Caenorhabditis elegans: one gene and its partners. The protein of the gene in region 4 purifies or fractionates together with the protein of the main gene of each other region. This does not show direct contact. Each region holds a gene or a part of one and is shown on either strand. Other genes may lie near its edges.

Region 1 (7,854 bases), on a different chromosome or scaffold from region 4:
AGAACGAAATGTATCACTTGAGTGTCGTTATAGGCCTTAATAATCCTAAAACACACACGTTTAATTTATTCATGAAAAAATTGGACTAGTTTCAATAATGATGGCATTCTATTTTTGAATAAAAAAGGAAAATTTGTGACATTTTAGGTGCTATTTAGGAACGTATTACATCAAAGACCAATTGTGAATTTTAACAAAAAATGATGAAAACACGGAAAGTTGAACAACAACAAGACCGCTAGAAAAAGTACTAAAGTGTGTGCACCACGCGTGTGCCCCGGGCTGGCTACTTTCTCTTTTTCTCCCTTCTTCGCCACTCATTTGTCCAGTCTCTCGTCCAGCGGAATATTTTCCAATCTTTGAATGATGACCAGTGCATGAAACGCAAGAAGAAACCCGGAGGAGGAGGCGAAAAATGCTGAACAACGTGAAGGTGATGACAGCCTCCACAAAATATATACGCAAAATCAAACCGCGTGCGTGTTCTTCGTCATTTCAATTTTCTAACAACTGTCGATTCCGAATGTCTGGGTACATCACACACTAACAAATTAAACTTTTCTGTGTGTTTTTTTTTTCGCCCGAGGTTTTTTCTTTTTATATCAAATGATCAAGTTGGCAATCAAAAGCTAACCAATGTTTGAAATTGAATGAACTCAATGAAATTTTATACTGAATAAAGCTGCTTTTGAGATATCCATAAAATGCATACTTTCAACATATGAAGTGATTTTTAGGTTTATGACTTTCGGTTTTTAGTGACTTTTTTTCCGGAAAAATATTGTTAAACAAAAAAAAATATCTGAAATAAAAGCTATGACAAAAAAATAAGTTGTTGGGTTTTTTTTTTCAATTAATTTTTGAAAATTACAAATAAGGATGTTGAAAATATATATATATATATATAAATTTGACTTTCTTAAAACAAATACTGAATAACGATAATTTTTTTTTATTAAGGTTTAGTTTTTTCAAGTTAATATTCAAGATATTTAAATATAATTATTTTACAAATAATTCGAAATATGCATCGAAAAAACAAGATAATGGAGTAGGGAATGAAAAAAAGAATGCAGCAGAACTTCATTCATTAATTAATTTAAAGTGACAGTTGCAGTTAGCGGTCATCAAGAAAATGAGAGTTATGACTTACTAAGTCCGGAAAAGAAAACGAAAAAGCGACACTTGATGAGTGAAGTTGAAAAAGTAATGAGTCCGCAAAAACGAAATATTGTGTGAAAGAAAAGAGGCTTAACCGATTGTTGCATTCGTTTTCAAAATGGAGCGAAAACAAAAAACATGAAGAATTGTTTTTGCTTCAAACACCTCTTGATTTTTCTTTGTCAAGTATCGCAAAACACACAAAAATGGCGTGAATAACCTTGATACATGGATTGTAAATTTTTTACATGCGTGTTCCTTTGGTGGAACATGAGAAATTTTATCACAAGAATAATATAACATTTTGTAGAGGGAAAGCTTCAGAAATTAATTCCAAATCAAAAAGTGTCGACTAATAATGGAAAGGTGTTGCATTTACTCACAAAAGATTATACTTCCTCCCGACTCTTCTATTTGTTTGATGAACGGCTAAGCGGTCAATTATTACAGTCTTCATTCATTTCTCTGGCAAAGAACGTAAAGTTATGCAAAATTTACTTATTTTGAAATAAAAATATCTTTTGCGCTGGCAAGGGTCTCATATTACTTTAGTGATGTTAGCTATAGGGCAACTGAGATTTTATTGGGTGAGTGTGCACTTTTAAATGGGACTGAATAGTACGAATGAACTGCTGAAATGTTAGTCTATAAAAAGTCAGTTCAGTACAAATAAATACCGTAATCTCTCTGTTCATTTTGTTCAAACAACTAGAATGTTTGAGCTTTTACACCCAATTTTGTTGTTCTCAATGAAGATGTTTTCTTATTTATTTATACTCTTATGACTGAGAGAACAAAAAATACAATTAGTGATGACGACCTTTAAGAAAAAGTTGCAAAATGTTATATCCTAAACACTGTCAAACTGGAAGCACATTTCTTTCTCCTATAAATAGTAGAAATACGTTATTTGTTGAGTTTTAGTAAAATATTACGAATTTAAGTGGTTTTAGCAAAACAGAGACGCCAAAACTAAAATAAATTTGACCATCCACATGTTTTATAGCCCAATTATAAAAAGTATTGATTTATTTCGTTGCTCCAAATCACAAATTTATTGGACTTCAAACATGTTCATAAAATATCACAGAAAATAGAGAAGGATTGATGCATCGAAAAGTAAATAGTTATCTAAAAATAGAAAAAATTGACTTTCAAAAATTTAAGCTAAAATAACAGTTTATTGGATCAACTTTCTGATCATGTATTGGAGGATTCCTCCGTTGCGGTAATAGGTGAGTTCGACTTCAGTGTCAAATCTACAGATGACTTGGAAAACTGAACCATTGGATACATTCACATCAATGAGCTGTCCTGGCTTCAAATCGTCTGGAACTCCAATTGAGAATTGTTCTTTTCCAGTAAGTCCGAGACTATCAGCGTTTTGACCAGCTTGATATTGGAATGGAATAATGCCCATTCCAATCAGGTTGGAACGATGAATTCTTTCGAAGCTTTCAGCGATAACAGCCTTGACTCCTTGGAGGAATGGCCCCTTTGCAGCCCAATCGCGAGATGAGCCACATCCATATTCTTTTCCAGCAAGAATGATGGCTGGAATTCCGGCATCCTTGTACTTTTGAGCAGCGTCAAAGATGTCGAGCTCTTCTCCAGATGGCACATGGAGTGTAATAGGACCAACCTTCGACGCAAGCTTATTAACAAGACGAATGTTGGCGAATGTTCCACGAGCCATGATCTGAAATTTAAAAAAAAACGTGATGTGTTGTTAAATTCAAAGTTTTTAGAAAATCATATATTGAATGAATAAACTCTTACCTCATCGTTACCACGGCGAGCTCCATAAGTGTTGAAATCTCTTGGCGTTACTCCACGTCCAGCAAGGAATCTGGCGGCGGGAGAGGTCTTCGAGATTGATCCAGCTGGAGAAATATGATCAGTGGTTACCGAGTCACCGAGATTCAACAAAACGTGTGCGTTTACAATATCGGATTGTGATGGAAGCTCGCTAGTCATTCCATCAAAGAATGGAACCTTCTTGATGTAAGTAGAGGCATCGTCCCATGGGTAAAGCTTGACAGCCGGGCACTCCAATTGTTGCCACTCCGTGGATCCAAGCTCAATGTTAGCGTACACCTCGCGGAAGAATTGTGGCTTCACGAATTCCTCCTCAAACTTGGCAACTTCTTTTCTGGTTGGCCAAATGTCGGCTAGTCGGATTTCCTTTCCGTCAGGAGTAACAGCAAGAACTCCGTTAATGTCAACATTGACGTTTCCGATGATCGAGTAAAGAACAGCCAAAGGTGGAGATGCCAAATAGTTAGCACGAACATGTGGGTGAATTCTTCCTTCAAAGTTTCTATTTCCAGAGAGAACTCCGGCAACGACAAGGTTATTCTGAATAAACAATTATTTTGAAAAGAAAACAGTAGTTTCAACAATACCTCTTCGATGGCCTTTGTTACTGGCTCATCAAGTGGCCCAGAGTTTCCGATGCATGTCATGCAACCATATCCAGCAATATTAAATCCAATCTTCTCAAGGTATGGAAGAAGACCAGATGCTTCCAGGTATTTTGTGACGACTCCTGATCCTGGAGAGAGGGATGTTTTCACATATGGTTGGACATTCAATCCCAACTCAACAGCCTTCTTGGCAACCAATCCAGCTGCGAGCATGACACTTGGGTTACTGGTGTTTGTGCAGGATGTGATGGCAGCAATAACTACGGATCTGGAAGAAACATTATTTTTTGCATGTACTTCTAATTTATAGTCTTACCCGTGAGTAAGCTCTGCGGTTCTTCCGTGGTTGGTAATTGTGACAGATTTAGTGGCATCTTCTGGTTTAAGGCCAAAAGCTTTGAAGGAGATCTTATCAGTGAGCCCTTTGGAGAAATCTTGAGCCAGAGAAGCAAGCTCAACTCTGTCATGTGGACGCTTAGGTCCGGAGACACTTGGCACTACACTTCCAAGGTCCAATTTCAAAGTGGTAGTGTATGTTGGGCGGTAGGAGTCATCGGTGAAATTGACGAACATGCCAACAGACTTGAGGTATTGTTCCACGCGTTGAGTATAATCGGTATCACGTCCGGTTTGAGTGAGGTAGTCAATGGTACGGCTATCGACTGGGAAGAATCCAATTGTTGCTCCATATTCGGGGCACATGTTAGCAATTGTTGCACGATCGGCGATGGAGAGCGATGCAACTCCAGTTCCAAAGAACTCAACAAACTTTCCAACAACTCCGAGATCACGAAGGTTCTTTGTGATTGTAAGAACCAAGTCGGTACTGGTAACGGTATCACTGAGAGTTCCAACCAATTCGTATCCAATAACTTCTGGAATAACCATGGAAATTGGCTGTCCGAGCATCACAGCTTCAGCTTCAATTCCTCCAACACCCCATCCAAGAACACCACTTCCATCAATCATTGTGGTGTGGGAGTCGGTTCCAACGACGGAGTCAGGGTAGAGAACGCCATCCTTTCCAACAAACACTGTTCTGGCAAGATATTCAAGATTAACCTGATGGACGATTCCAGATCCTGGCGGTACAATAAGAAGATTGTCGAAAGCTTTGGATCCCCACTGAAAATAATTTGATAATACAATTTCATTTAAGCTATCTGAATATTTGTGTGTTCATTGAACAAAGTAGTGATAAGGGCAATCAAATGCATAGCGTGATTTTCCGAAAAGTGATGGGGAGAGTAAAACGTGACAGTGAAACTCTGAAAGTGGCATTTTCACCTTTCCTTACCTTCAAAAAGTTGAAGCGTTCTCTGTTTCGCTCAAACTCAATGGACTGATTCTTGGCAAGGGCTTCAAGGCTGAAAAAAATACAATAAATGTATAAACCAGGTTGCGCAGAACGTACTTTCCGTAGTGATCGACTTGCACGGAGTGATCGATGACAAGGTCAACTGGGCATACTGGGTTGATCTTGGCCGGGTCAGCACCCATATTTTGAACGGCGTCACGCATAGCGGCAAGATCTACGACGGCTGGAACTCCACTGAAAATTGCTTGATGTACATAAATTTGGTAATTTATTTTCAAGCTCACGTAAAATCTTGGAGAATAACGCGTGCTGGTTTGAAAGGAATCTCAGCTTGGTTACGCTGGCTGTTTTTCCAATCAAGAATGGTTTCCACGTCCTTCTTCAATACATGGAACTCATCGCAATGACGAACTGCGGCTTCCAACAAGTACTTGATGGAGATTGGAAGCTCGTCTGAAAATTTTGGGAAGGTTTTTAAAGAAAATGATTTATATATGACTTTAACATAATGAATTTATTCTTGCTCGTCGAAATTCGCTGTTTTTTTTTTCGTTTACAAAAGTTCCAAAATTGAATATATGCAGATATATTTTAGATAGATTGAGAATAGGATGTAAAATAGTTATACTTACTGTAACGAGCATCATTGAGACCATTCAAGTCAAAGTATTTGTAGACGTTATCTCCGATAGCCAAGTTGCGGATAAGGTTGTTGAAAGCCATATCTGGAAAGTTAGATATGGAAAAAATTTAAAAAAAAAAGGATTTCGATAGAAAAGAACGACAAAAGTGCATTGTAATGAAAAAGAGAATGCGAGGAAAACTAATGGAGGCGTGCCGAATCGGTGTAGTCGACCTGTCCGTTTTTGTGTGTGTCTGAGCGCGCTTAGTGTGTGTGGCTGTATTGAATGTGAGAGCGTTTTGTGTATGTTGTGTATGTGTGTGTGTGTGCCAAGGTCGGTCGAAGATAGTCATCTTTCATATCAGCTAGGACGAAATTGCGTCGTTGTCCAGTGTTTCTAGAAGGCTAATGTCGAGAAAAAAGGCGGCGAGAAAAAACGATACCATCTCAGAACTCAAGAAACAGTCAAAAAAGGTAAATGTGCACAGTGAAATAGTGTGCGGTGGGAAGAGAAGAAGAGGGCCGATCTGCATACACGTTGCGTACTTGACCCAAGAGGTTACGACAATGTTGCAGTGTGGTTTTTTTGAGAATTGAAACAATGCGCTCTCAGACATATTGAGAGATAAAAAGAAAATTCAGAGATTTGTGTCCGATATTTTTTATCTTTTGTTATCATTGATATCAGATCATTTAAAAAAGATTATCAAGTGGGAGAACTTTGCACAGATTGATGGTGAGGTGGAAATTCCTTTGGGAAACTGAAGAGCAAAAATTCGTTTTATTTTTCAAAAAAAAAAACATTTGAAAAAATGCAATCGAATCCATGCTATAACTAAACTAATACACTAGAATCTAGAATCACTAGAATCTGTAGTTCACAAAATTCATAGAGTACGGAATTTCTGTTAGCGTGACTAAAATTTACTAAGTTAAAAAAACAGAAGATGTTTGAGCACAAGCTGGTTGGTTTTTTGATTGATATTTTTGTTTCATATGTCTCTGTTCTTCATGATAATTTACTATATATAATATAAAGCGCTTATTCTGTGTGTCCATAGTTTGTAGTCTATGTAGTCTTTGTAGTCTGTGAAGTTTTGACTTCTGGAGGGATAGTGAGTTGGGGTTAGTGTAGGGATATAGTCGGGGTACTGTAGTGGTACAATAGTGGTACGGTAGGAATACTGTAGGGTTACGGTAGTTTCATAAAAATTGATTTTCAGCCCTAGAAGTCGGGGGCCGCGCCGAAGGTGCGGACCACGGCTGGTTCATAATATTACAATTACCGTTTTTCATAGTTTACCGCGTATCATTGTATAACCATGTTTTATTCAGAAAGACTTTGCATATATATTTTTATTTGATCCCAAGTTGAGATTCATAGAAACGTATTTTATTAAAATTGGTCTCACAATCATTCCCCGTATTACCTCTAGTAGCCTTTTAAGTTGTAAAAAGCAAGACAAGTGCTAACATGTGTAAACGTTTTGAACAAGTCTAGGTTTATTTTTTCAGGAATTGAAGAATTATCTGAAAATTCTACAAGGTACGCCTTGTCTTGTCCCGAATTATTGAAATACTGATTGAAGTTCTAATATTAGGATGACTCTTAGAAATGCAAGAAAATTACACACTGTATAACTAATAGGGAGTACACTTGGTAAATGAATAACACTGTTAAAAATTCTGAAAACTACCAAAAAAAAAACTCGGCTTGTTTTTTTAAAAGTATTTTCGTGTGTTTCGATGATGTTGCATTAGACAGTGTCATAGTTCTACGCTGAGATCCTATTAATGTATTCACAACAACCTAGTCATCAGTGTACATCAGAAAAACGTAGGATTCGACGCTTGTTGTGACACACACTTGCCTTCTTTCCATTAAACCCCATCTATCCACTTCCGATGGGCCCTTCCGGCATGATAAGAAGTGAGTGGCTACATAAGACTTCACACCTCCTTCGGAGATTCATCAATCCAACTACTCCGAATTTTTTACATTTTACTTCTACATATATTGGAATTCGTTCCATCAACACATTCCTGTAAAAAATATATAAGAATTGTTACTGTTTGCGGGATAAATGCCCCTCATATGAGATGATAAATGCGTTTATATTTATTTTTCATTTCTTCTTTGCTACTTGCGGAGTCAAGAAGATCTATCAGTAAAATCAGTCATGACGAAATCAATCAACATGTGAAAACTACACTTAGTTGTGAGCAATCTTTTTCATAAAATACATATAAAACAATTATTGTTTTGTTTCAGCAGAAGGGATTGTTCGAATAGGTCACCTTCACCCCACGAACCCTATTATAGCACA
Region 2 (6,382 bases), on a different chromosome or scaffold from region 4:
ATTCATAATTGAAATATTTTCAGCTACCTGGCACTAATCATCTTTGGCTCAGTACTTGTCATTTCTCTACTGGTAATTGTGACAGCAATAGTTTGCAAAAAGATTCCCGGGTGTCCAATGTATCAGAGTATTCATAGTAAGTTCTTTCTTTTTCACGGAAAGTTTGAAATTTCCACCAATTTCAGTGATAACTCGATCGAATGAGTCACCATCTGCGCTCTACCGTCCGGTAGATCAAATTCCGCCAAAAATGTACGAGGCACCGCCTCCCTACGAGTGTTTTGTACCCCCGCCGGTGGTTGCCACGTCATCAACGGATAATAACGAATGGAATTGCATACTGGAAAATGAGGTATGTGGGAGGAGTTTTGATTTTGGCGCCAAAAATTATACATTTAAAAAATTATTAAAATTTCAAAAATTGGATTCGAGAAATATAAATTAAAAATTTTTAAATTTGGCGCCGAAAATTAAAAATGCGAAATTTATTTGAATTCAACGCAAAAATCATAAAGAAAATTTTGAAATTGCACTAAAAGTTTAAAAAATCTCGAAATTTTTTAAATTGGTGCCAAAATGTAGGAACTTAAAATTTTGAATTCAAAGTCAAAATTTAAAACTTTGAAAATTTGGAACTTGGCTCCAAAAAGTGATTTTTCAATTTGGTGCCAAAACTTATTAATTTTACAAATTTCAAATTTGGCGCGAAATTCGAAAATTTTTGAATTCTTACATTTTGCCGCCAAGTAAAATAAAATTCGTTTGTGCCAATTTTCAGATTTTGAATTTTATAATTTTGTCGGTTTTTTCAAAAATTTCGAGTATATAGTTTTTGGCGCCGAAAATTCAAAAATTTTCCATTTGGCGGTAAAAATTTCAAATTTCGCACGGAAATAGTTACAAATAAAAAAAAATCAATATTTTCAGGTAAACGGATCCCGTAGGACACCTCCTCAAATCTCCTAATCTTCCTTTTTTTTTCTAAAAAATTATAAAAAAAATCCTCTCTTCAAATTTAACGGGTCTTGACACGAAGTACTCTCACATTTTAGCATGTTTTTTTTAATGTAAGATATTGAATTCCCCGCCCCCCGGATCATTTGCTCAATTTCTTCTATGAATTTATTGATTTTTTTTCAATCACCCGGCTTCTTCAATTTTTCTGTATTTTTGTGATTTTTTTCGAATTTTTTGGTTAAAAATTCATCATTATTCGGTGCTTTTTCTCATGTGCTTCTTTCAAAATTCTTCCATGTTTGTTGGAATATATGGAATTTTTATGTAAAAATCTTCGATCTCTGCGCTTTTTGCTTCAATAAAAAAATTTAATACCGCGGAAACATTCGTTTGAAGAAAATTTCTTAATTAAGAAAAAGTTCAATTATCACCTTTTCCAGCAAGTTTCCAGCTTGAAATTTTTTATTTATTTAATTATTCAATCATTTCTCATAGTGAGACTTATTATTGATTTATGCTTTCATTTTGTCAAAGTGCGTCCATTTTGTATATATATATATTTTTTTTTTTTTTATGTTGCACAATATTTTCAGGTTAAACAAATATTTAGATACATTTAACTTTACCGTAAAATATGAAAAGGTGCACAGTAAATTGAGAATAATTAAGAAATAAATGTTTAAATTTATTATAAGTGAATTTATTTATTTATAAAAATAGTACGTGAAATATCTATATCCACGCCATTAAAAATTATATTTAAACGTACAAAAGATTCATGCACATGAAAGTATTGTTTAAATTAGGGTTCCCAGCTGAGTGAGGCGCAAAATGCGGGCCTCACGCCGGCCTCACGCCGGCCGGCCTTCGCCTTCGCCGTTCGCCGCTTTCAATAATAATGACGTGAATTTTAAATTTTAATTTTCAAAAATTCGTTGAAAATTTAGAAAAAAAATATAAGAAATGAAAATAAAAGTTTATGTGTAATTCAGTGAAAGGCGAGAGTGACGCCGTGAGGCCGGCGCGGCGACCGCTGAGGCGGGCGAAGGCGCCTTTGCGGCGACCTCATGGGAGCCCTAGTTTAAATCAGGTGAAAAATTAATATTTGAAAAAAAAATCATTAGGGACAACTTTTCGTCCCGTTGGCGAGGAACAGGGAAGTGACCTTTACAACAGCTCTAGCACCTAGCCGGACTAGATTCCCTCGGAATAGCCGGACTAGATTCCCTCGGAATACGATTAAACATGAATTTTTTAAGATTTTGATAATATCGAATTTGTAGATCATCTGTGTCGTTCATGCAATTGAAAAACCAAATGCTAGGTTGATTATTTGTAGAATCGGTAACTATGCGAAACGGAATTCCCAAAAATCCTTCTTGAAATATAGAATTATTTACGTCACTGTTCACAAATGTGACCTTGAACTGGAGAAAGTCCGGTGAAACTAGGAACATCTGAAATTATTTTTTTTTAAAAATTACATGAGATATTCGAACTCACATCTCTCAAATATATAACATTTTTCAATGATAACGAATCCAAAATTATGTCAACTTTTCTGAAGTGAACAAGATTTTCAACATCACACTTGATAACACGCTTAATAATTGTCAACTCTTTCGCATTCCTCCATTGTTCCATGACCAAAAACTCTTCAATGCTCCATACATCACTTGCAGGTACGTCGAAAGATGTTCCAAACTCAATTTTGTTCAGCTTAGAGGGATCCACGGATTGGAGCAGTTGCACTATGGTTTTTTGGTTTCTTGTTGTGACAACCAACTTTTCCACTGGCAGCAATCGACCCAGCGAGGCGTGCAAATCTTTGAACGATTTCAAAAATCGATTCTCATTCTGGTCCCAGATTGAATGACTTTCTGTTTCCTGGGGATTCCCCTCAATTTCATCCATGTATTTTTTTTCTTCTTCCGTAACATCCTTGAAACTTGACTCGCTGGTTTCATCAACTTGCATAAAATTCATTTTAAGTTCTTCCAAAGCAGATTTTTGATTTTTCAAAATAAGGAACAAGTCGTTTGAAAAGTTGCCGTAATCCAACTCGCTAGATTTTCTGGATAATCTTGAAGCCTTATATGAAACTTTTCGGTTTGTGGATTCGGTAAACATCTCAAGAAGTGCGCACCCAATGCTTTGAACATGAATGCCGATTTTGAGTAATTTATGGTCTGGTTTGATAAGGTCGATGCACTGACGGCTTCCATAAGAAATTTTACGGAGCACTTGTCTGAAAAAATAAAATTCAAGCTAAAAAAAATCAAAAGACTTTACATACATATCAAAAAAATCGAGACGTTCAACAACGCTGTTCATAATCACAGTGTTGTAGAACCACAAAGTGCTTGATATCGATGAGCCAGAAACTTCAGACAAAAGCTTCGTTTCATCCATTGTCAGCTGCTCTAGCTGGTTCTGAATAGTTGCATTGTTAACAATAATTTCGTTTCGTGCAAGTATTACACTGTAGGAGAAATAAAATATGCCTGTTCTGTGCTAACTCTAGCTTTTTCTCGTGTCGGGCCATAAATTGAGCAAGATTTTGGCAAAACTTGGTTTAGGTTGCTCTTGATCTGCCACTCTTATCTAATTAGGAAATAATGTTAATTGGACATTAAAAAAGACAGAAGTGAAATGGAAGATCAGATTTTTGGCTACATGAGTTTTTTTGGGGTTACCTGGAACTTAGCAGAATAAAAAAGAATTTAAAAATGATTGCAATGTTCCTATTCGTGTATTTTTTTTTTTCGAAAGTTTTCGAAATTTTTTGTGATGTCTCATTATGAAATTCGGTGGTTTTGGACCAGTTTTAGTCTATTTAAGCAAAATATCCACAAACTCTACTCCCCCTTTAAGTTGATTCACAATTTGGAGAAAAATGCAAATTTAACGAAAATCTGAACTTTTGCCATGATGTCAATGTTATGCCGCAGTGACCGAAAGTTGAAATAATTTAATTCGCACTCTAGTTTGCATGTGGTAATTGGTACATTCAATTTCTAAGTCACAACATCTTGACAGTTTTTCCACACAGCAGGACACACGAATTCTTTTTCAGCATCAGATTTTGTCAGCTCCAAAACTGTTGTACAGGCTCACCTGCTAAAGGTCACTCTCTCGCAAAATATGTAGGAGGCAGTTATATTGCCTGTGTATCTCTACAAACTCAACTCTCTCTATACGCTCACAGGCCACTCCCGTTGTGGGGGAAAAACGGTCAAGATGTTGTGACGTAGAAATTGTAGGTACCAACTATGCTCACTTACCAATTATCAACATGCATAGTCGGTACCTTTTCACTAGTCAAGAACATTGATCACATAGAGTCTACAAATTTTCTGACCGAATATATGTTAATTGGAAATAAAAGAAAAGAGCCAAACTTTCGACGCTTTCACTAATTAAATAATTTTTCTGGGCTTCTTTCCGTTAGTTTTTCGTTGTTCTTTTTGTTGCATAGATTGCATAGCAAAAATAATTTATTCATAGGAAAATTGACAACTGACAAAATTGCCGAAAAAAAATCTAAATAACCCCTATGCAAATTTAGCTATTTACCTGTTAAGTTTTCCAGGTTTTCATAAATTCCCCAAATCCAAGTACTGCTCTAAAACAAATAATCTAAAAATTGTCCAGCTTGAAAAACAAATACCCATCTTCCCAACGTCTTCCAGGAAATTCTAACCGCAATAATATTTTCCTGCATTGCATCCAGATGTTAGTTATTGGAAATATATGAACATGCGAAACGGAAACCAATATTTTCTTGGAACATCTTAAAATGAATGAGATTAGTTTTTCTTTGTATAGAGCTTCTTTACACCTATTACCCTACTCATATGAGTTGATTAAATGTATGGGTACTGTAAGGGTACGGTAGTTAAACTCAAAACTGAACTGTTATTATAATTCTTGCCTACTAATATTTACTGTTGAATTTAGTCATTACGGCCCATTTTCTATTATTTAAAGCAAAAAAATTGACTCTACTCCAGTGGTGGGCGGCAAACGATTTTTTCCGGCTAATCAGCAAATTACCAGAATTGAAATTATAGGCAAATCGGCCAACCAGAAAATTGCCGATTTGCCGGAAAAAACACTTCCGGCAAATTGATATCCGACAAATCGGCAAACCGGCAAATTACCGGAATTCAAAATTCCCGGCAAATCTGCAAACCGGCAAATTGGCACAATTGAAAATTCCCGGCAAACCGGCAAATTGGCCGAATTGAAAATTCCCGGCAAATTCTCTAACCGGAAAATTTCAGGCAAGTCGATTAACCGGCAAAGTGCCGGAGTTAAAAATTTCCGGCAAATCAGCTAACCGGAAAATTTCCGGCAAAGTACCGGAGTTAAAAATTTCCGGCAAATCGGCGGAATTGAAAATTCCCGGCAAATCGGCAAATTAGCGGAATTGAAAATTTCCGGCAAACCGGCAAATTTGCCGAATTGAAAATTTCCGGCAAATCAGCTAACCGGAAAATTTCCGGCAAAGTGCCGGAGTTAAAAATTTCCGGCAAATCGGCGGAATTGAAAATTCCCGGCAAATCGGCAAATTAGCGGAATTGAAAATTTCCGGAAAATCAGCAAACCGGCAAATTACCGGAATTTAAAATTCCCGGCCAATCGACAAACCGGCAATCTGGCGGAATTGAAAATTCCTGGCAAACCGGCAAATTGGCGCCATTGAAAATTCCCGGCAAGTTGGCTAACCGGAAAATTACCGGAAATTAAAATTTTCGGCAAATCGGCAAACCGTCAAATTGGCGGAATTTAAAATTCCCGGCGAACCGGCAATTGCCGGAAATGAAAATTTTCGGCAAATCGGCAAACTGGCAATTCGCCGATTTGCCGTTTTTGTCGGAAAAAAATTTGCCACGCACCCCTGATCTACTCCACCTCTAACAATGACGTAATTCTGATAGATAATAAAAATCTGTTTTTTTTATTTCTAATTTTAAATTCAATAATCTCAAATCAGCATGTTTTCAAAATTACATTCAATACTCGAAACCTTGAAAATCTCAATATCAAAAAACCTTTTCACTTCTCCATTTTTTATGTGCATAAGCATAAACAACAAACATTTTTGCCCTGCCGCGCGCTCTCAAAAAAAAAAAAGGCGGCGGCGCCCCCCGTTTCTCCCCCGGGGGCACCCACGTCCATCAACTGTGGTGCTACTCATTGTGAAGAGCATGGAGCAACGAATGTTGTGTGTGTGTGTTTTAACACTTACTTTTTCATTTTTTTTTCATTCTCAATGTGTGTTCCTATATTATTTCTTATTTCTATTAATTGACCTGGTTTCCCCATTCCAGGAAATTCCAGCTCCAGCTCCTCTCACCTCCAGAGCCACAATTCAAAAATTGTGCTGTTTTGCAAAGAGGGAAGGGGGAGGGGGATACAT
Region 3 (10,211 bases), on a different chromosome or scaffold from region 4:
GTACATAACAATTAGCTGAAACTGTGATTTGAATTTGAAGTCTCTCAATCAATTTCAGCTTAACTCGCGATTCTGGTCTAAGTTATCTTTTCAAAATTCAATTTTTATTATTAGGGTTCATTCCGTTTTTTCGGGCAAAAGGAGTTTTTCAAAAAAAAATTGTATTTTGTAGTCGGAAAAATTATTTTTAAAACTTTAATTTTTTTTTGGTTTCAGAGCTCAAAAAAGTTTTTTTTTTTGTTTTTTTCCCGTAATTTTTTTTGAAGCAAATCTAGTGATGAACTAAACCAAAAAAAGTTAAAAGTAAACTTTTATAAAAGAAAGTTGAAAAGCTAAAAGACAACCAAAATGAGAAATACGATATTTCACTTGTACATAACAATTTGCTGAAACTGCAATTAAATTTTATAGTCTCACGGCCAATTTGACCCGAATTTGCAATTTTGAGCTGGAAGTAATCCTGGTGGCCCGACTGTCTCAGTAAATTTCATCTTGTTCAGTTCAATTGTCCTCCACAGATTCACAAAATCTTGTGCATGTGGTTCGGGTGTTCCCGAAGAAACATAATTTTCTAGAGCTCTATCTTGTACTGGAGCTCCTCAGAATCCAAGTGGTCCAGCAGCACACCTCAAAAAATTTTTTTGGTATTCAAAAACTATTTTTCAACAGCCTACAATATAAAAGAAATAAATTTAACTTTTATATTCATTCACAGCATGGAGCATAGAACTGACAATGAATAAAGCAAAGAATCATGTTCACTTTCATAAGATCTAGTTGAAACTGTCAAATCCCACGCTTCTAGAATTCAAAATTATGCAATTTTATTATGCAAATTATATAGGTTTTTCGTAGATTTTTGTTTTTTGTCCAAATTATTAATGTACTGAGCATAAAGAAATTGCACTTGTACATAACAACTAGTTGAAACGGTTTTTTAAGTTTACAGTCTCACAGACAGTTTCAGCTGAATTCGCGATTCTGAGCTTGGTTTTCATTTCAAAATTCAATTTTTATTATTAGGGTTCATTCTGTTTTTTCGGGCAAAAAGGAGTTTTTCAAAAAATTGTATTTTGTAGTCGTAAAAATTAATTTAAAAGTTATAATTTTTTTTGGGTTCAGAGCTCAAAAAAAGTTTTTTTTGCCGTAATGAACTAAACGGAAAAAGTCTTAAAAACTTTTATAAAAGCTAGTTGAAACCTTAAAAAACGGTGCAAGAATTGAAAAAAAAAACTAATTTCATAGTTAAGATAGAAGTCGGGTTAGCAACCGAACAAAAAAAAGAAATTTCTTGTACATAAGCTGAAACGGTAATTTAATTTTTTTTTATTTTTAGGATGTTCCCGATGAAACATAATTTAGTGGAGCTCCGTCATGTTCTGGTAGTCCAGCAACATACCTAAAGTATTTTTTGTATTGTTTTTTGTTTTTGGACGAATTTTAATTTTCAGTCGGGGAGTTTAAAACAAAATTCGTAGTTTTTTTTTTTGGTTCTTTTACTAAGATTTTTACTAAATCAAAAACAAATGCCATTTTTATAAAAACTAATTGAAACTGTCAAATTGTAAAAATCTGTTTTTTTTTTCAAACATTGTGATTTAATTACAAACTTGCAGTGCCGTTTACATTCCATATTTGGATTGGATTAGAATTGGATCTTCCATAATAGGTAGGCGCGGTTTCAGGGACCTGACGCCTGCCTCGAATCGCATTTTTACGTTTTTTTCTCATTTCAATAATTTTGTTGAAAATCAAATTAAGATATGAAAAAACAAATAGTTCGTGTATGTTTTAGAATAAGGCGCGTATTGAGGCAAGAGGCAGGCGGAGATCGCCTTAAGGTCAGGCAGGTGGGAATTTGAACGCCTTCATGGAAACCTTAGTTTTTGTAATTAACAAGACATTTTGTAATTTACAGCAAATATCAGAAAAAGATTAATGAGAAATAAGAATGTTCACTAGTACATAGCAGCTAGTTGAAACTGCGATTTTATTTTATAGTCTCACGTTCAATTTGAGCCAAATTTGCGATTCTGAGCTTGAAGTAAAAATTGTGCAGGTGGTTTGGGTATACCGTGAGACTATCCAATAAATTTACAGTTTCAGCGTGTTGTACATAAGAACACGCTGAAACTGTAATTTAATTGGATAGTCTCACGGTCAATTTGACCCGTGTTTCGGGTGTTCCCGTAAGAAACATAATTTTCTAGAGCTCTATCTTGTACTGGAGCTCCTCAGAATCCTGGTGGTCCAGCAGCACACCTGGAGGACTAAAGTGCTGAACTGTTCTCTTAAATGTTCTGTTTTTTTTCGGGCCAAAAACCAAAAGAAAACTATATTTCAAAAAAAAAACTTTTTTATTTTTATTTTTGATCAAAAACTTTTTTTGGTAAGACCTTCCTCCTGTATTTTTTTTCAATTTCAAAAATTCTGCAAGAATTCAAAATGTTGTAATTTTAGTCGCTTCAGTGAGGAAATATAAAACTGCATCTACATAGCAACTAGCTGAAACTGTAATTTTTTATTTCATAGCCTCACGGTTAATTTCCACTAAATTCGCGTTAAATCCAATGTTCTATTTTATAATTTTTTATGGATGCTTTAAGCAAAATTTGGTATTTCTTTTCGAAATTCTTCGGACCAAAAAACAAACAAAAAACAGAAAAAACTGTTTTTCCAAAGATTTTAATTCGTTTTACAGTTTTAACTTACAAATGTGATGTAGGTAGTAAGCAACAAATAAATTGCAGTTTTATAACAACTAGTTGAAACGGTCAAATTTATAAGCTCTGAAAGTTGTGTTTCCAATAAAACTCTTAATATATATCACCGATTTATAACAACTAGCGGAAACAGTAACTAAAAAATTAATTTTATAAATAATTTTAAAGTCCCAATGTTCTATTTTCGAATTCTACCCAATCGCGAGATTCTGCATTCAGATCTTATCATCTTTCTCTTCCAAATACACACACACACACCTTGAAACTAACCAATAAAAATGCAATCATCCGACCGTTTCGTCGTCGTCAAGGATCGTAACCTGGAACCAGAAGACGAGAATCATCAAAACAGAGAATTTTATGGCGGTGATCTATTGGGCGGGAAGGAACATACCACGTGGGAGAAGGGGGAGGAGAAGTCGAACATTCACGAGAAATCTTTCATTGCTGATCAGAATAAGTTCGGTTTTGTTGGCAAATTTTGAGGTTAGTTTTTTGATGAGTGCCGAAATTTTACCGAAATTTGGAATTCGGCAATTGTCAATTTTATGAACTATACCAATAAATTGTATTAAAACTTCTAGAATGCTCTAGAAAAATCTGGAAACTACTAGAATTTTCTAGAACAAAACTGGAAACTTCTAGAAATTTCCAGAGAAATCTATAAACTTCTGTAATTTTCTAGAAAAATGTGGGAACTTTAAGAATTTTTTAGAAAAATCTGGTAACTTCTAGAATTTTCTAGAAATTTTTTTTTAAATTTTATTTTTTAAAAATTACTGTTTCATCACATTGAGAAAATGTTTTTACTGTTGATTTTTCTAATTTCGTATACTGTTGACTCGGTTTGTGAAGACTCAATTTTCCAGCATGAACATCCCATCTCTCTTCGTCGACCCATTCTCTCCGCTCCTCGAGCATCCAACGGAGCAACGTGCCAAGAATGTGGCTCACGCACCAAAGCGTCCGTGTAATCTTACACAGACAGAGAAAATGGTAATAAATTTATCTTTGAAAAGATAAAAAAAATGTACTGTTTCATTAAAAACGTTTAGGCACTTGACTTGGAATTTTTTCTTTTCAAATGAATTTTTTGAAACTGCAAAAACAGTTTCATTGTTTCATTGAGCGCTTTAAAGAAGACTGTGAAACATAATCTTTGACAAGTTGGCTGAAAATGAGCCTAAACTAACAAATTTTTTAGAAAAATTTGGCTAAACTCTGAAATTTTTTGCCTAGTTTTTAATAAAATTAGCTTTTTTTTGTTGCATCAAGAAGTTTAAATGCTACACTGACTAACTAATAGAACTTTTTACAAATTGAAATGCAATATTTGGAACAGTGAACATTTTTACCTTTAATTTTTCAAATCTACTCCTAATTATGGTAAACTATTTGCAATGAGATCAATGTTATAATTTATTGTTCCGACATCTCCCGGGTTGCACAGTGTTCTCTGTGCTCGGCGCAATTTGGGAGATACCAATTAATTGAATGAAGTTGTTGTGCCAATTCTAGTTCAGAAAAAAGTAAGAGAAGACTGTAACAAAATTTACAATTTTTTTGCAATTTTGGAGCAGTTTTTGAAGTCGGTAGGCTATGTAGTTTTCGAGATCAAGAACAATCAAGAAGATCAAGAATCAGATCAAATTTTAATTTAGGAGCTGAAAAGCTGTTGGCTATTAGTTACAAAAGTCTGTTTCACTTACTTGATAAAATACAAGTGGAATTCCAAAATTTATTGTTTCGAACTTCAATGCAGGTCCCAACCAGCTTCAACTATAAAATTCTTCCAGCTCGCCGTCCGCAATGCTCTCCGCTACATTCCAAAAGAGCATCACGTCCTTCTAGCCACCGAGTTCGCTGAAGAGCTCAACACCTATGGACACATCTATGGGTATCGGTTCATGCCAAACTTTGATCTATTCGCGCCGCCCGTCTCGGAGATCGGAGCTCATTGCGAACAAGCATCGGCTATCATTTTGATGATTCTAAACAATTTGGACAAGCGGGTTGCCCAGTTTCCACAGGAATTGGTGACTTATGGAGGAAATGGTCAAGTTTTTAGGTTAGCATGGGAATCTTTCTGAAATGCTTGAGAAATGATATTTCAGCAATTGGATCCAATTCCGTCTGGTTCTTCGTTACCTCTACACAATGACTGACCATCAAACTTTGGTGCTCTATTCCGGACACCCATTGGGCCTATTTCCATCAACCCCGGACTCGCCAAGAATGACTGTTACTAATGGAATGGTAGGCCTTTGGAAACTAGGATGCTTCGTACATTTTGACATTTCAGATGATCCCGAGCTACTCGACAAAGGAGCTGTACGACAAGTATTTTGCATTAGGAGTGACGCAGTACGGACAAATGACTGCTGGAAGTTTCTGTTATATTGGACCACAGGGAATTGTACACGGGACTACGGTAAGCCGTTAAATGGAGTTTGGCATTAAAACACCGTATTACCGTCAAATTTAATGAACACACTAAAACAGTCAAATTTATTTTGGAAAATGGGCAAAGCAGAAGGTTTTCAGTATACAACGGTTTTAGATGGAATTTCAAAGGCAAAAATTCAAGGATTTCAAGATTTTTGTTTTTTTTTCTGAATATGATTCTTGTCATTTATATAATCCAAACTGCACCAATGTAGTAGAGAAGTGACTCAAAGAAAACATGTTATTTCTAATAACTAACTCAGCCCTAAAATATACGGACACTGTGAAACATTAAATTTTTGTAAATTTTATTTTTTTTTTTAAATAGTTATATAATGAACCAAAGCTGAAGTTTTGGCATTAAACACCTTATTACTGCCAGAATATATGAACACACTGAAACAGTAAATTTTATTCTGGGATATGGGCTACACAGAAGGTTTTCAGTATACAACGGTTTCAGATAGTATTTGAATGATTTTTGTTAAGTTTTTGTGTATTATTCTAGTTATTTTATAATCCAAACTCCACCAAAGTAGTAGAGAAGTGGCGTCAAGAAAACTTGATATATTGCTTTAATTTATAGCGGTGTTCTCTTGAAAACCTTCCTAATAGCTAACTCTCTAAGTCCTAAAATATGTAGACACAATGAAACAATAAATTTCTGAAATTTGTAATTTTTTTTTCAAGAGTTACATAATGAACCAAAGCTGATAATATTTTGTCCCACTGAAAAAATTTACTTACTTCAACTAACCACAGTATTTATTAAAGAGTGATAATTTAACAAAAATTTAGTTCCAGACACTTAGAAGATGACAAAATTTTTGATTTTAGCTGAAAATGAGACCTTTTTTATCAGAACTTTGAACCGCCATAACTTTTTTTTTTGAGAAATTTTCAAAATGTCTCGTTACGAAATTCAGTAGTTTTTGGGGAATCTTGGGTCGGAAAAAGCAAAATCTCAGATTTCGGTACTCCACCTTAAATAGAGTCGAATAGCTATCTTACAAAGCCCTAAAATATGTAGAAACTGTGAAAAAATAAATTTTTGTAAATTTTATTTTTATTTTTTCAGTAGTTACATAATGAACCAGAACTGATAACATTTTTTTTTAATTTGAATTTCGTAATTTTCTTAAGGTTTTTCAAAATTGACTTATTAGAAGCAGAAAGTTGAAAGTCTTTTCACTTTATAATATTTTAAAGAAATCTAAATGATTCGAGACCAGATGCAACAGATTACAGCTTTTCTACCCATATAGAAAAATAGTGACGTCACTATATGAGTTTTTCTCGATCTATTCTTCTTGTCCGATTAATTTCATCACAACTCTCCTGAATTTCTGAACCCCCTGAAACAGTAAAAATTCTCCAGATCACAGTCCTCAACGCTGGTCGTCGTATGGGACTGGATTCCCTTGCTGGTAAGGTTTTCGTAACTGCAGGACTTGGAGGAATGAGTGGAGCTCAACCAAAAGCAGCTAAGATTGCTGGATGTATTGGAGTTATTGCGGAAATTAGTGATACTGCATTGTTGAAACGTCATCAACAGGGATGGTTGGATGTATATTCGAAGGATCTTGAGGAAATTGTGAATTGGATTAAAGAGTACAGAGAGAAAAAAGAGGCAATTAGTATTGGATATTTGGGGAATGTTGTTGACTTGTGGTGAGTTTTAGAAAATTTTACTGTTTCAGAAAGTTGTTAAATTTTTTTATGAAAGTGTGAAAGGCGATCTACGGAGCAAGAGGGAAAATAATTAAAGGAAACGAGAAAAGCGGAAAAAATTGTAATACAAATAATATATCTCATAGTTTCGGAACCAAGATTTTTTTTAAATTACAGAATTTTTTACAAAGATTTTTCACAATTAATAAACTTGGTAAAACATTATTCACAAAAATTCTAGACAAAAAACTATGAGTTTTCAAAATTCCAGGGAACGGCTCGCCGAGGAACCGGAATGTCTTGTAGAACTGGGAAGTGACCAAACTTCTCTCCACAATCCATTCCTTGGAGGTTTTTACCCTGCTGGACTCACTTTTGAACAATCCAATCAAATGATGACTTCTGATCCTGTAAAATTCAAAAAACTTGTTCAAAACTCTTTAATCCGCCAAATCGCCGCCATCGACAAGATTGCTGCAAAGGGAATGTACTTCTGGGATTACGGTAATGCTTTCCTTTTGGAATGCCAGAGAGCTGGAGCCAATTTGCTCAGAGAGGATGCTCAGGATGATAAATCGTTTAGATATCCAAGTTATATGCAGGATATTATGGGGTAATAATTATTTGAAAAGAGTACAATTTAAATAAAATAAATTCTGTTTCAGAGACATCTTTTCAATGGGATTTGGACCATTCCGATGGGTTTGTACTTCTGGAAAGCCGGAAGATTTGAGATTGACTGATCAGACAGCATGCAAGATTATTGATGAGTTGAAGGATACTGATGGTGAGTGCTTTTATGTTGTAACAAAAAAATCGACTGTTTCACTATGGCTATATGTATGTTCACTATTTTGAGAAATTTGATGGGTTCAGTGTGTGTATCTTTGAAATTTAGTACTAATCTCATAAAATTGAGCATTTGTTGGCGAGAAATCATATATATGCTGTTTCATATTGTCCATAAAACTGCCGACGAATTTTGACTTTAATTTTTAATATTTGTTAGGAAATTTAGGGATGTGAAGCTGTTGAAAAAAAAAAAGAAAAACGAATAGCCAGTGTAATATTCTTGAAACCGTAAATAACTACTAAATAAAATAGCGTACTGTTTCGAGAAGTTTATATAATTTTCGCTTTTTGAAAGAGGTTATTCCGGAAATATTGCTAAAAAAAAGCAGAAAACTTCTACAATTTCGCATAGTCATTAAAGTATGTTCGATTATTTTATTTTATTAATTTTGCTGAATTAAAAAATAACATATTAAAGGTGGAGTACCGAAATTAGTGACTCTGTTTTCTTAGACCAAAATGAGTCCAAACCTACCGAATTTTGTAATGAGACGTTCTGAAAATTTCTCAAAAAAAAAAGTTATGACGGTTCAAAGTTTTAGAAAATAAGGCCCATTTTCAGCTAAAATCAAAATTTTTTCCAACTTCTCGGTGTCGCAACGTCTGGAATTGAATTTTCATTTATTCATCACTTTTTAATAAATATTGTGGTCATTGATTGGGCGTTTATTCGTTGATTTAACTACATTTATGGTCTTTGGGGCACAAATAAAAGTTACATTTTGTGCCTCACTGACCATAAATGTACTTAAATCAACGAATAAACGCCCAATCAAAGGCCACATTATTTATTAAAAAGAGATGAATAAATAAAAATTCAATTCCAAACGTTGCAACACCGAGAAATTAGATAAAATTTCGATTTTAGCTGAAAATGGGCCTTATTTTCTAAAACTTTGAACCTTCATAACTTTTTTTAAAGAAATTTTCAGAACGTCTCATCACAAAATTCGGTAGTTTTGGGCTCATTTTGTTCTAAAAAAACAGAGTCTCTAATTTCGGTACTCCACCTTTAAGAGTAGAAACATGTAGTTTTAGGGGAACTCATCAGGTTATTTATCAAATTTATGCTTGGAAAAGTTGAAAGTCTACCGAAAATGTCTTTTCCGCTGAAAAAAATTAACATCGTTCCCGGAAACCCGGGATATGTCGTACCATGATGAACAATTCACAAAGTGTCGACCGCAAAGCAAGTATACCAAAACGAGAGATAGGAGATGCGGTTTGAAAACAAGTTGAATTTGAGAATTTTTCACTGTTTCCAACTTTGCATTTTAATTTGTAACGTATTGTATTAGACAATTTGTAAAAAATTATGTTTTTTATTATCTTCAAAATACTATGATCCTGAATGAATTATTTGAAATGGGTACCCTTAACTTTAACAAATATTCGCTCTTAAAAATTCTGAGAAAATTTGCAAAAAATCACCACGTCTTCTTCTTGAATGGGTACCACTGAAAATTAATTGGGTTGTTATTTTTATTCCGAAATATACTCACACTGCTGCCAAGTTTTGAAACTTTCTGTTTCTAGCAGAGACATTGATTTTTTCATTTTGAGAACCAAAAATCGAATCATTATTTTTTGCTAGTTTAATAAGGCTGAGCAAATCAAACCACCAACTCCAAATTTCAAAGCACATTTATCATGTTTCATAGACTCTGTTAAACCAACGTTTCAGTCCCCGAATACGTGAAACAGCAATATTTGGACAACAAGAAATGGATAGAAGAAGCCGAGAAAAATAAGCTCGTCGTTGGCTCACAGGCACGGATTCTATATTCGGATCGTGCTGGAAGAGTTGCATTGGCTTCTGCATTCAATGAGCTCGTGAAATCTGGAAAAGTGTCGGCTGCAATTGTAATTTCAAGAGATCATCATGATGTTTCTGGAACTGATTCTCCATTCCGTGAGACTTCAAATGTTTATGATGGAAGTGCTTTTACAGCTGATATGGCTGTACAGAATTGTATTGGTAAGTGGATAGGGGCTACATATTTAAAAAAAAACAACAATTTATAATTTTTCAAAAATTTCACTGTTTCGCATTGTTCACAAAAATGAAATCAATATTGAGTAAAACTGATCCACAATGACTGTTTCCTTTCCATTTCAGGTGACTCATTCCGTGGTGCTACATGGGTTGCCCTTCACAATGGTGGAGGTGTTGGATGGGGTGACGTCATCAATGGAGGTTTCGGTATTGTTCTTGATGGCTCAAGTGATGCTGCCCGCCGAGCTGAAGGAATGCTCAATTGGGATGTACCTAATGGAGTTACTCGTCGTTCTTGGTCTGGAAATGCAAAGGCTCAGGAAGCAATTCAACGTGCTGAAAAACAAGTTGATGGGCTTAGAGTTACATTGCCAGTGGAAGCTGATGAGGAATTGTTGAAGAAGTTGAAATTTTGAATTTTTACTTTGATAAATTGAATTTCTGAAATTAATTTTTAATTTTAAAAAATACTTCGTTCCAATAAAAGTTTATTATTGTGCTTCCTTTTTGCCCAAGTAATGACC
Region 4 (7,374 bases):
AACCAATTTCCCACCAAAAGTCTGATAAATTCCTTCAAGTTGGTGTATCAACTTACGGAGGTGGAATCTGGAGAACCTGGTTTGACCGTGACTTGTCGGTGGCTGGATTGGTTATTGTCAAGAATGGAGAGAAACTTCAACACAAGCTGATCGACGTGAAAAAGCCAGTTCTTTTCATTCCAAATTTGGCGATTCATTTGGAGACCGACAGGTATTTGAAATTTGTCACTATCGTCCTAATTTTGCAATTTATTTCTCAGAACAACATTCAAACCAAACACGGAAACTGAGCTCCGCCCGATTCTGGAAACCTTCGCTGCTGCTGGAATCAATGCACCACAGAAACCCGAGTCTACTGGTTTTGCCGATCCACGAAACATTACCAACAATCATCATCCCCAATTCCTCGGATTAATCGCGAAGGAAGCTGGATGTCAGCCAGAAGACATCGTTGATTTGGATCTCTACCTTTACGATACAAACAAGGCTGCGATTGTTGGAATGGAGGATGAATTCATTTCTGGAGCTCGTCTTGATAACCAAGTTGGAACATACACTGCGATAAGTGGACTTCTCGAGTCTCTAACTGGAGAGTCATTCAAGAATGACCCACAAATTCGTATTGCCGCATGCTTCGATAACGAGGAAGTAGGATCGGATTCCGCGATGGGAGCATCTTCTTCTTTCACGGAGTTCGTTCTCCGCCGTCTTTCTGCTGGAGGCTCAACAACCGCTTTCGAAGAAGCAATCGGAAAGAGCATGCTCATCTCTGCAGATCAAGCTCATGCCACGCATCCAAACTATTCGGCAAAACACGAAGAGAACCATCGTCCAGCATTCCATGGTGGAGTCGTCGTCAAAGTAAACGTCAATCAACGATATGCAACAACTTCAACCACACACGCTGCTCTCAAGCAAGTTGCATTCGAAGCTCAAGTTCCTCTTCAAGTTGTCGTCGTTCGCAATGATTCTCCTTGTGGATCGACGGTTGGACCGATTCTTGCCACAAAACTTGGCTTGCAGACTGTCGATGTAGGATGCCCACAGTTGGCTATGCACTCGATTCGGTAGGGATTTAACTTTTAAATCACATCATTTATTTTCTTGATTTCAGCGAGTTTGCCGACACTTCGAGCATCTACCAGGCCACCACTCTCTACTCTACATTCTACGAACGTCTGTCAACTGTCCTCTCCAACATGCAATAGGCAAATCAATGTTGATCCTTCCCAATCATAATTTCTACTATTTAATCGCGTCGTGATATCCAATCTTCAGTTTCTCTGTGAATATTAATTTCTATAATTTATTTGGTTTTCAAATAAATAAAGCAATGCATTTTTTAAAAGCTGAAATTTTATAGATAACAATTTAAACAAAAACAAATCTAATGCTTCGGATTAACAATTTCGATCTTCGAACTAATTGATGGTTCAATTCCAACGGCCTTCATCAAAAAGTAGAAAGTGGCTTCGGTGCTTTCCTTGATCACTTGTCCATTCCTAAATCCATGTCCTTCTCCATCGAAAAGCATCAGAGCAGTTGTAACTCCACTAGCACGGATCTTCTCATACATTGTGATAGATTGGCTCATCGGTACTACCGTATCCTCCCTTCCATGCAAGAATGCAATAGGAGTTCTAATTTTATCAATATGATAAATGGGACTTCTTTCTTCGTAAATGCTCGCTTGCTCAGGATATTTTCCGATAAGCATCTCATTGTAACATCTTTCCAGTTTATGAGTATCTTCATCTAAAGCCAATAGATCAGCAACTCCATACACAGAAACTGCTGCTTTTATGATATTTTTCGGTGAGATAAGACAGCTCAGAATCAGATACCTGAATAAAAATATTTATAAAACTTTAACAATGACTATAATATTAAATTCCTACCCTCCAGATGAACTTCCAGTGATCAGAACTTTTTCGGCATCCACTTTTCCTTGCTCAACAAGTGCTTTTGCTCCATTCAACATATCATCTCTATCAGCTACTCCACAATTTTTATAAAGCATTCTCCGGAATTCAGTTCCAAATCCAGTTGATCCTCGATAATTTACATCAAAAACAGCAATACCTCTCGACGTGAAGAACTGTTTTTTAAGATCCAAATTATTCTGAGCTGGAGCCGTCGGGCCACCATGTCCGAGAAGTAAAACTGGAGGAAGTGTTCCAGCTGGAGCAGAATATGAACAGTTTTTCGGTGGATAAAAATAACCAGAAACATCAACTCCATCCGATTTGAACACAAATTCTTCTGGTTCCGAAATCTCGAGAGCGTCGATTTCCGAAGAATCTCGGGATTCGCGATGAACTTTTAATGGGAAATTTTTGTTCGCGAGATCGATGGAAATAACGCTTGAAGCTCGTTTTGGTCCAGAAGCAATTGCGAAAAGATCAGAACCATTCTGGTCGAGTGAAAGATATCCAAATACAGTATAGCCTGGAGTTGGAATCTCTACAGTAACATCTCCCGATCGGACATACAAAATTCCGTCTGCGTTCATTACCTGAAATATTTAAATTTCATTAGGTCAATTTAAAAATTCGAATTTTTGTGTTTAGTTCAACTAATTATATTGAAAATTGTAAACTTAGGTTTAAAATATTTGAAGAATGTTTTGAATTTCCAATCTAAAATTCTCACCAAATATTTTTTATTCAGAACATAATTTCTGAAACCAAGCTGCCAAAGCGGGTAGCTGATCTCTCGTTGAATTGGATTCAGGTTCTTCTCGACGGAATTTGGCTCTGCAGCTGATTTATACACATTCCACCAGTTTGTGCTATCATTCACAGTTAAAAGCTCATCACCATCCCAAGTTGGTTCGGAATAGTTGATTTGTTTTCCAGTTCCGTCCTTCAGCGTCACCTCATTGCTGGATTCTCCACCTTTGAGATCAGCCATTCGGATGGATGTCTCGTCCCATGGCATATTTGGAAGGCTCCATTGCATCCAGACAAGCTTTTTTCCATCCGGGGAGACTCTTGGATAGGCGTAAAAGTCGGCTCCGTGAGCTATGACGTTTTGATTCTTGGTTGCTCGGTCGATGGAGATTAGTCGATTTTCGGGAAATTTTGCATCAGCTTGGTGGGTTTCATTAACACAAAATACATGGGTGTCAGTGGCTGAGAAGTCGGAGAATCTGAAAATGTTTTTTATTTATTTTTGAAAGTTATACACCATTTAAATTATCCCTGACCTAAACATTCGATTATTTCCTTCTGCCAATTGCTCAACTCCGGAATCCGCCGACTTTTGATAGAAAACTCCTTCGATCGTAGCAAACAGCACTGATCCATCAGCAAGAACATGTAGAGCACCTCCTCCGTACTCGTGAATTGCAGTTTGAACAGATTGACCATCAGCCCAGCGTGTACGAGTATCTCCATTCGTTGGTTTTGAGTAAAGCTCTCGTTTTCCAGTTACTGAATTCTGTTCAATCCAGTAGACATTGCCACCGACAACTTGCATCTCGCAGATAGACTTGCAATTACATTTTCCGAAGAGATCTGGTGTGATCGGACTATCCCAACTTCCGTAGACAGCTTCAGTTGCCATTTTTCGGGCACTTTTTATGCTGTAAAAATAGTTATTTTAAGAGAAAAATAAATATATTCGAGATAAATTCGTCAATATTTACAATGAAAGCGTTTTTGTAATTGTGAGGTTTGTTTGTTTCCAAAACAATCAATAAAATTCAATTTGACAGACTTTCTAAGTGGATTAGTTTAAAGTTGTTTAAAAACATTTTTAGAAAAAACTCTTAATTTATAAAACAGGCATCACCTAAACATACAAAAATGCCATCATTATAATAATTGTATTTAAAAAAAGTAAAACTTGCGTTGGGGCAGAAAACAAGCGGAAGATTCGGAGAAGAATCTGCGTGAAATTGAATTTATAGTTTTAGGAAATGACTTAAAGTGATGAAACCAATCAGCTTATCGGTTTTCAAGTATGCGTACGGTTTTTCACCAGTCTCGTCAATTTTATGACATATATGCTGAAAATATGTTGCACTTTATTTTGTGGAATGAATAAAAAAGGAAGTTTATTGAACAAACATTAAAAAAAAAACTAAGCATTTGGAATGATATGGCACAAAAATTCAAATCACAAAAGGAGAGGACAAGAGTTGAATTACACGCAATTTTAGAACGGAACTGAGAATAATTATGCATGAAAAAAAAACATCTCAAATTGAATGAGAAATGAATATTTACAGAAAATCTAAACTAAGCTATTCGAATTTAATTCCCTGAGCCAAAGGAAGTTCCTTGCTGTAATTGATCGTGCAGGTGGATCGTCTCATGTACTGCCTCCAGGAGTCGGATCCTGATTCGCGACCTCCACCGGTCTCCTTTTCTCCGCCGAAGGCTCCTCCGATCTCTGCGCCAGATGTGGGAATGTTGACATTGACGATTCCACAGTCACTTCCTTTTGGTCTGAAAATTAAATGTTAGTTTTAAATTCACAATTTCAGAAAATCTCACCCCATCCATTTGAAAACATTTTGAATATTTGTTGTAAATAGAGAAGAACTCAATCCTTGATCAACTTCATTATTGATTGCAATAGCTTCCTCGAGGGTTGAGAACTTCAGAACATAGAGAATTGGGGCAAAAGTCTCGCGAAGAACAACTGGAGAATCGTGCTTCAATCCAGTGACAATTGTTGGGAGAACAAAGTTTCCATCCCTCTCAAGAACTTTTCCACCGTACTCAATCTTTCCTCCAGAAGCAACTGCTTCGGCAACTGAAGCCTTGTACTTTCCAACGGCCTGTTGGTTGTGAAGTGGGCCAATAATTGTGTTGGAATCCAATGGACATCCGATTCTTGATTCAAATTGAGCATAAGCTTTCTTCAATCTCTCGAGAACTTGATCGTAAACCTTATCGTGAACAATGAGTCTTCTCGTGGTTGTACATCTCTGTCCAGCAGTTCCAACGGCGGCGAAAACTGTTGCCGGTACAACCATGTTCAAATCAGCATCCTCGTTAACAATGATAGCATTGTTTCCACCGAGCTCGAGTAGAAGCTTTCCGAAACGAGCCTGAACTTGTTGTCCAACGATCTTTCCAATTTCTGATGAACCGGTGAATGAAACTAGATTGACTCTCTTATCCTTCACAAGAGCTTGACCGACATCACCCTCTCCACAGACAAGGGAACAGAGAGCTGGATTTACATTATTGGCAACAAGAACCTCCTCGACAAGTCTGAAAATAGTTATTTAGTGATTACAATTATGAAATAAGCGAGCTTACTTGGTCACAGCAATAGCTGTCAATGGTGTGGATGGAGCTGGCTTCCAGACAACAGAATTTCCTGTGACAAGAGCTAAAGCGTTATTCCATCCATACACTGCACATGGGAAATTGAAAGCCGAAATCACACCAACAACTCCAAGTGGATTCCATTGTTCGAGAAGAGCGTGTCCTGGACGCTCAGAAGGAAAGATTTTTCCTTCAAGTGATCTAGAGAGTCCAGTAGCGTAGTCGCAAATATCGACGTATTCTTGAACTTCTCCAACTCCTTCGGCAGAAATTTTTCCCATCTCGAGGGACACGAGCTTTCCCAGGTTTTGCAACTGCGTACGGAGCTTGTCTCCGATTTGACGGACGATTTCTCCACGTCGTGGTGCTGGTACCTCGCACCAATCGTTATAAGCCTTTTTAGCTTCAGAGATGGCGATTTCATAGTCTTGTACGTTTCCATTTTGTACCTGGAATTTGAAAGTTTTAAAACGTTTAGGGTATGTTTTTGAAACTTACATTAGCAATAGGGGAGTTATTTGCTGGAGCAAATGACTGAACAACTTGTCCACTCGCCGCCCATTTTCCATGAAAGACTCCGGCGTTGTTCTCCGTGAGACCAAGCTCTTTCAGGAATCCGTACTTTGAATCGTTGATCAGCAATTGCGACGCCATTCTGGTCTGCAAGGTAGCTGCAGACATTCCACTGCTCAACAATCGGTTCATCTGGAAACAAAAATATATTATTGTTAGACGCTTTGAAACAGAAGGTATTAGAAAACGAAGAGGTTAGTGGTCAAAAAACAAGAATGAATTGAAAAATGTTCGAAGGAGATTGAATGAAATGTATGGGCGGAGCGAGACACGGGCAGATTGTTTATGACGACGAAAACTGAGATGAAATTGATTGTTAATCAAGGAATTCAAGGACAGATTGCAGATCAATATCTATAAGACTATAGAATGCTGTAAATTTTATGACGTGGAACATGATACAAGGCTAATGATTTACAGCGGTTACAAGTTGTGTTTTTATGGCAGGCAACGTTTTATATATCTGATTGCAGAAACATTTTTCAAAAAATGCGCTCATAGCTCATGAAAAAAAAAATGCGGCATGCCAGTCCGAGGTAAAAACGAAGAAATGACGAGTCACGTGACTATTAAAAATATGAAACCACTTCGTGATAATTATAATAATTCTTTGATTATTAATATTAACTCATTCCCTTGTCATAAATATCATTTTCTCAGTCGTGATCTGCGGAATAGTAGTATTCTGCGTATTCGCGGCAAAGAAGGCGTGCAGCCGGTTGATATATATTTAGTTTCCGAATCAATGATGATATGAAGACAACCATGATAAAGAAGAACACAATGCAGTGACCACTAAAATTTGTGAAATGGAAATTGTGGAAAATTGCAGTCGCTTGCTCGACACAAAAAGAGCTATTCGGCTTATACATAACTTCAGGATAAAATTAATTCCCAGAAATTCAAATAAAAACACAGATCCACTTAGTTTGTATATGTTTCGTTGAAAAGGCGAATATTCGCACAAATTTCAATCTCTCGCACAATTTTTAACTACGGGAAAGCTAACAACATGGAATTATTGTGTCAACTTAATTGTAAATGTTTTAAAATGTTATTTTCACTGTAGAGTGTATTAAGCAAAATGCATTACATTTTTGAGCAATTTCAAATAAATCCCAATTTGGAAAAACTTGCAAAGAATTTGAATTCCCGGTAATTTTTTTCAAATAAAAACGCTTACCTTCTTAGCTGCTTTTGCAGCAACTGATGCTGCATTGGCAGCGGCCGCGCATCGTTTGCATCGTCTTATTCCCGAAAAGGGTGTATTGGGGCATTTTTACTGCGGAACAATGTAAATAATGAAAAACCTAATTTTGAAACACCGCGTAAATCCTCCCCGAAAAGCGTAGAATGTCTCTGCGTGGTGAGACCCAGTTGCGAAATTGTGTGCGCCTTTAGAAGCGAATTTATTTTCTAGAATAAATTCAAACGAGAATCATTGTTTTTCAAGGATTTCTGTTGAAAGTCTTTATTTTTTATTTAAAAAGTTATGTAATAATACATTTTAGAACCT

What was found.
Region 1: the proteins of dpf-4 (region 4) and aco-1 fractionate together in Caenorhabditis elegans (co-fractionation; one large-scale study listed by BioGRID). This does not show direct contact.
Region 2: the proteins of dpf-4 (region 4) and R05C11.2 fractionate together in Caenorhabditis elegans (co-fractionation; one large-scale study listed by BioGRID). This does not show direct contact.
Region 3: the proteins of dpf-4 (region 4) and uroc-1 fractionate together in Caenorhabditis elegans (co-fractionation; one large-scale study listed by BioGRID). This does not show direct contact.

The regions. Positions count from the first base shown.
Region 1 is NC_003284.9:11,337,650-11,345,503, reverse strand, and holds aco-1 (Cytoplasmic aconitate hydratase), read right to left. Parts: upstream 5,631-7,854; 5' UTR 5,629-5,630; coding exon 5,538-5,628; intron 5,359-5,537; coding exon 5,190-5,358; intron 5,140-5,189; coding exon 5,002-5,139; intron 4,955-5,001; coding exon 4,885-4,954; intron 4,713-4,884; coding exon 3,904-4,712; intron 3,856-3,903; coding exon 3,567-3,855; intron 3,520-3,566; coding exon 2,941-3,519; intron 2,861-2,940; coding exon 2,342-2,860; 3' UTR 2,177-2,341; downstream 1-2,176. Other genes in the region: Receptor-type guanylate cyclase gcy-9, read left to right, coding at 7,635-7,746, 7,800-7,854. UniProt on the Caenorhabditis elegans protein: Catalyzes the isomerization of citrate to isocitrate via cis-aconitate. Has probably no RNA-binding activity.
Region 2 is NC_003282.8:2,055,743-2,062,124, forward strand, and holds R05C11.2 (DUF38 domain-containing protein), read right to left. Parts: upstream 3,370-6,382; coding exon 3,254-3,369; intron 3,206-3,253; coding exon 2,461-3,205; intron 2,415-2,460; coding exon 2,136-2,414; 3' UTR 1,636-2,135; downstream 1-1,635. Other genes in the region: R05C11.4 (Protein shisa-9), read left to right, coding at 24-136, 186-352, 928-966.
Region 3 is NC_003282.8:16,535,705-16,545,915, reverse strand, and holds uroc-1 (putative urocanate hydratase), read left to right. Parts: upstream 1-3,166; 5' UTR 3,167-3,209; intron 3,210-3,548; exon of another isoform or gene 3,549-3,569; intron 3,570-3,592; 5' UTR 3,593-3,593; coding exon 3,594-3,719; intron 3,720-3,997; exon of another isoform or gene 3,998-4,022; intron 4,023-4,462; exon of another isoform or gene 4,463-4,489; intron 4,490-4,519; coding exon 4,520-4,791; intron 4,792-4,837; coding exon 4,838-4,979; intron 4,980-5,025; coding exon 5,026-5,154; intron 5,155-5,158; exon of another isoform or gene 5,159-5,179; intron 5,180-5,190; exon of another isoform or gene 5,191-5,211; intron 5,212-5,507; exon of another isoform or gene 5,508-5,528; intron 5,529-5,758; exon of another isoform or gene 5,759-5,779; intron 5,780-6,145; exon of another isoform or gene 6,146-6,166; intron 6,167-6,465; exon of another isoform or gene 6,466-6,486; intron 6,487-6,546; coding exon 6,547-6,839; intron 6,840-6,906; exon of another isoform or gene 6,907-6,927; intron 6,928-7,110; coding exon 7,111-7,452; intron 7,453-7,504; coding exon 7,505-7,626; intron 7,627-7,706; exon of another isoform or gene 7,707-7,727; intron 7,728-7,831; and 17 more.
Region 4 is NC_003281.10:5,855,825-5,863,198, reverse strand, and holds dpf-4 (Peptidase S9 prolyl oligopeptidase catalytic domain-containing protein), read right to left. Parts: upstream 3,892-7,374; 5' UTR 3,854-3,891; intron 3,587-3,853; 5' UTR 3,568-3,586; coding exon 3,209-3,567; intron 3,152-3,208; coding exon 2,653-3,151; intron 2,516-2,652; coding exon 1,899-2,515; intron 1,845-1,898; coding exon 1,388-1,844; 3' UTR 1,291-1,387; downstream 1-1,290. Other genes in the region: dnpp-1 (Aspartyl aminopeptidase), read left to right, coding at 1-211, 261-1,067, 1,115-1,208; alh-9 (Putative aldehyde dehydrogenase family 7 member A1 homolog), read right to left, coding at 4,250-4,454, 4,503-5,228, 5,277-5,734, 5,784-5,990.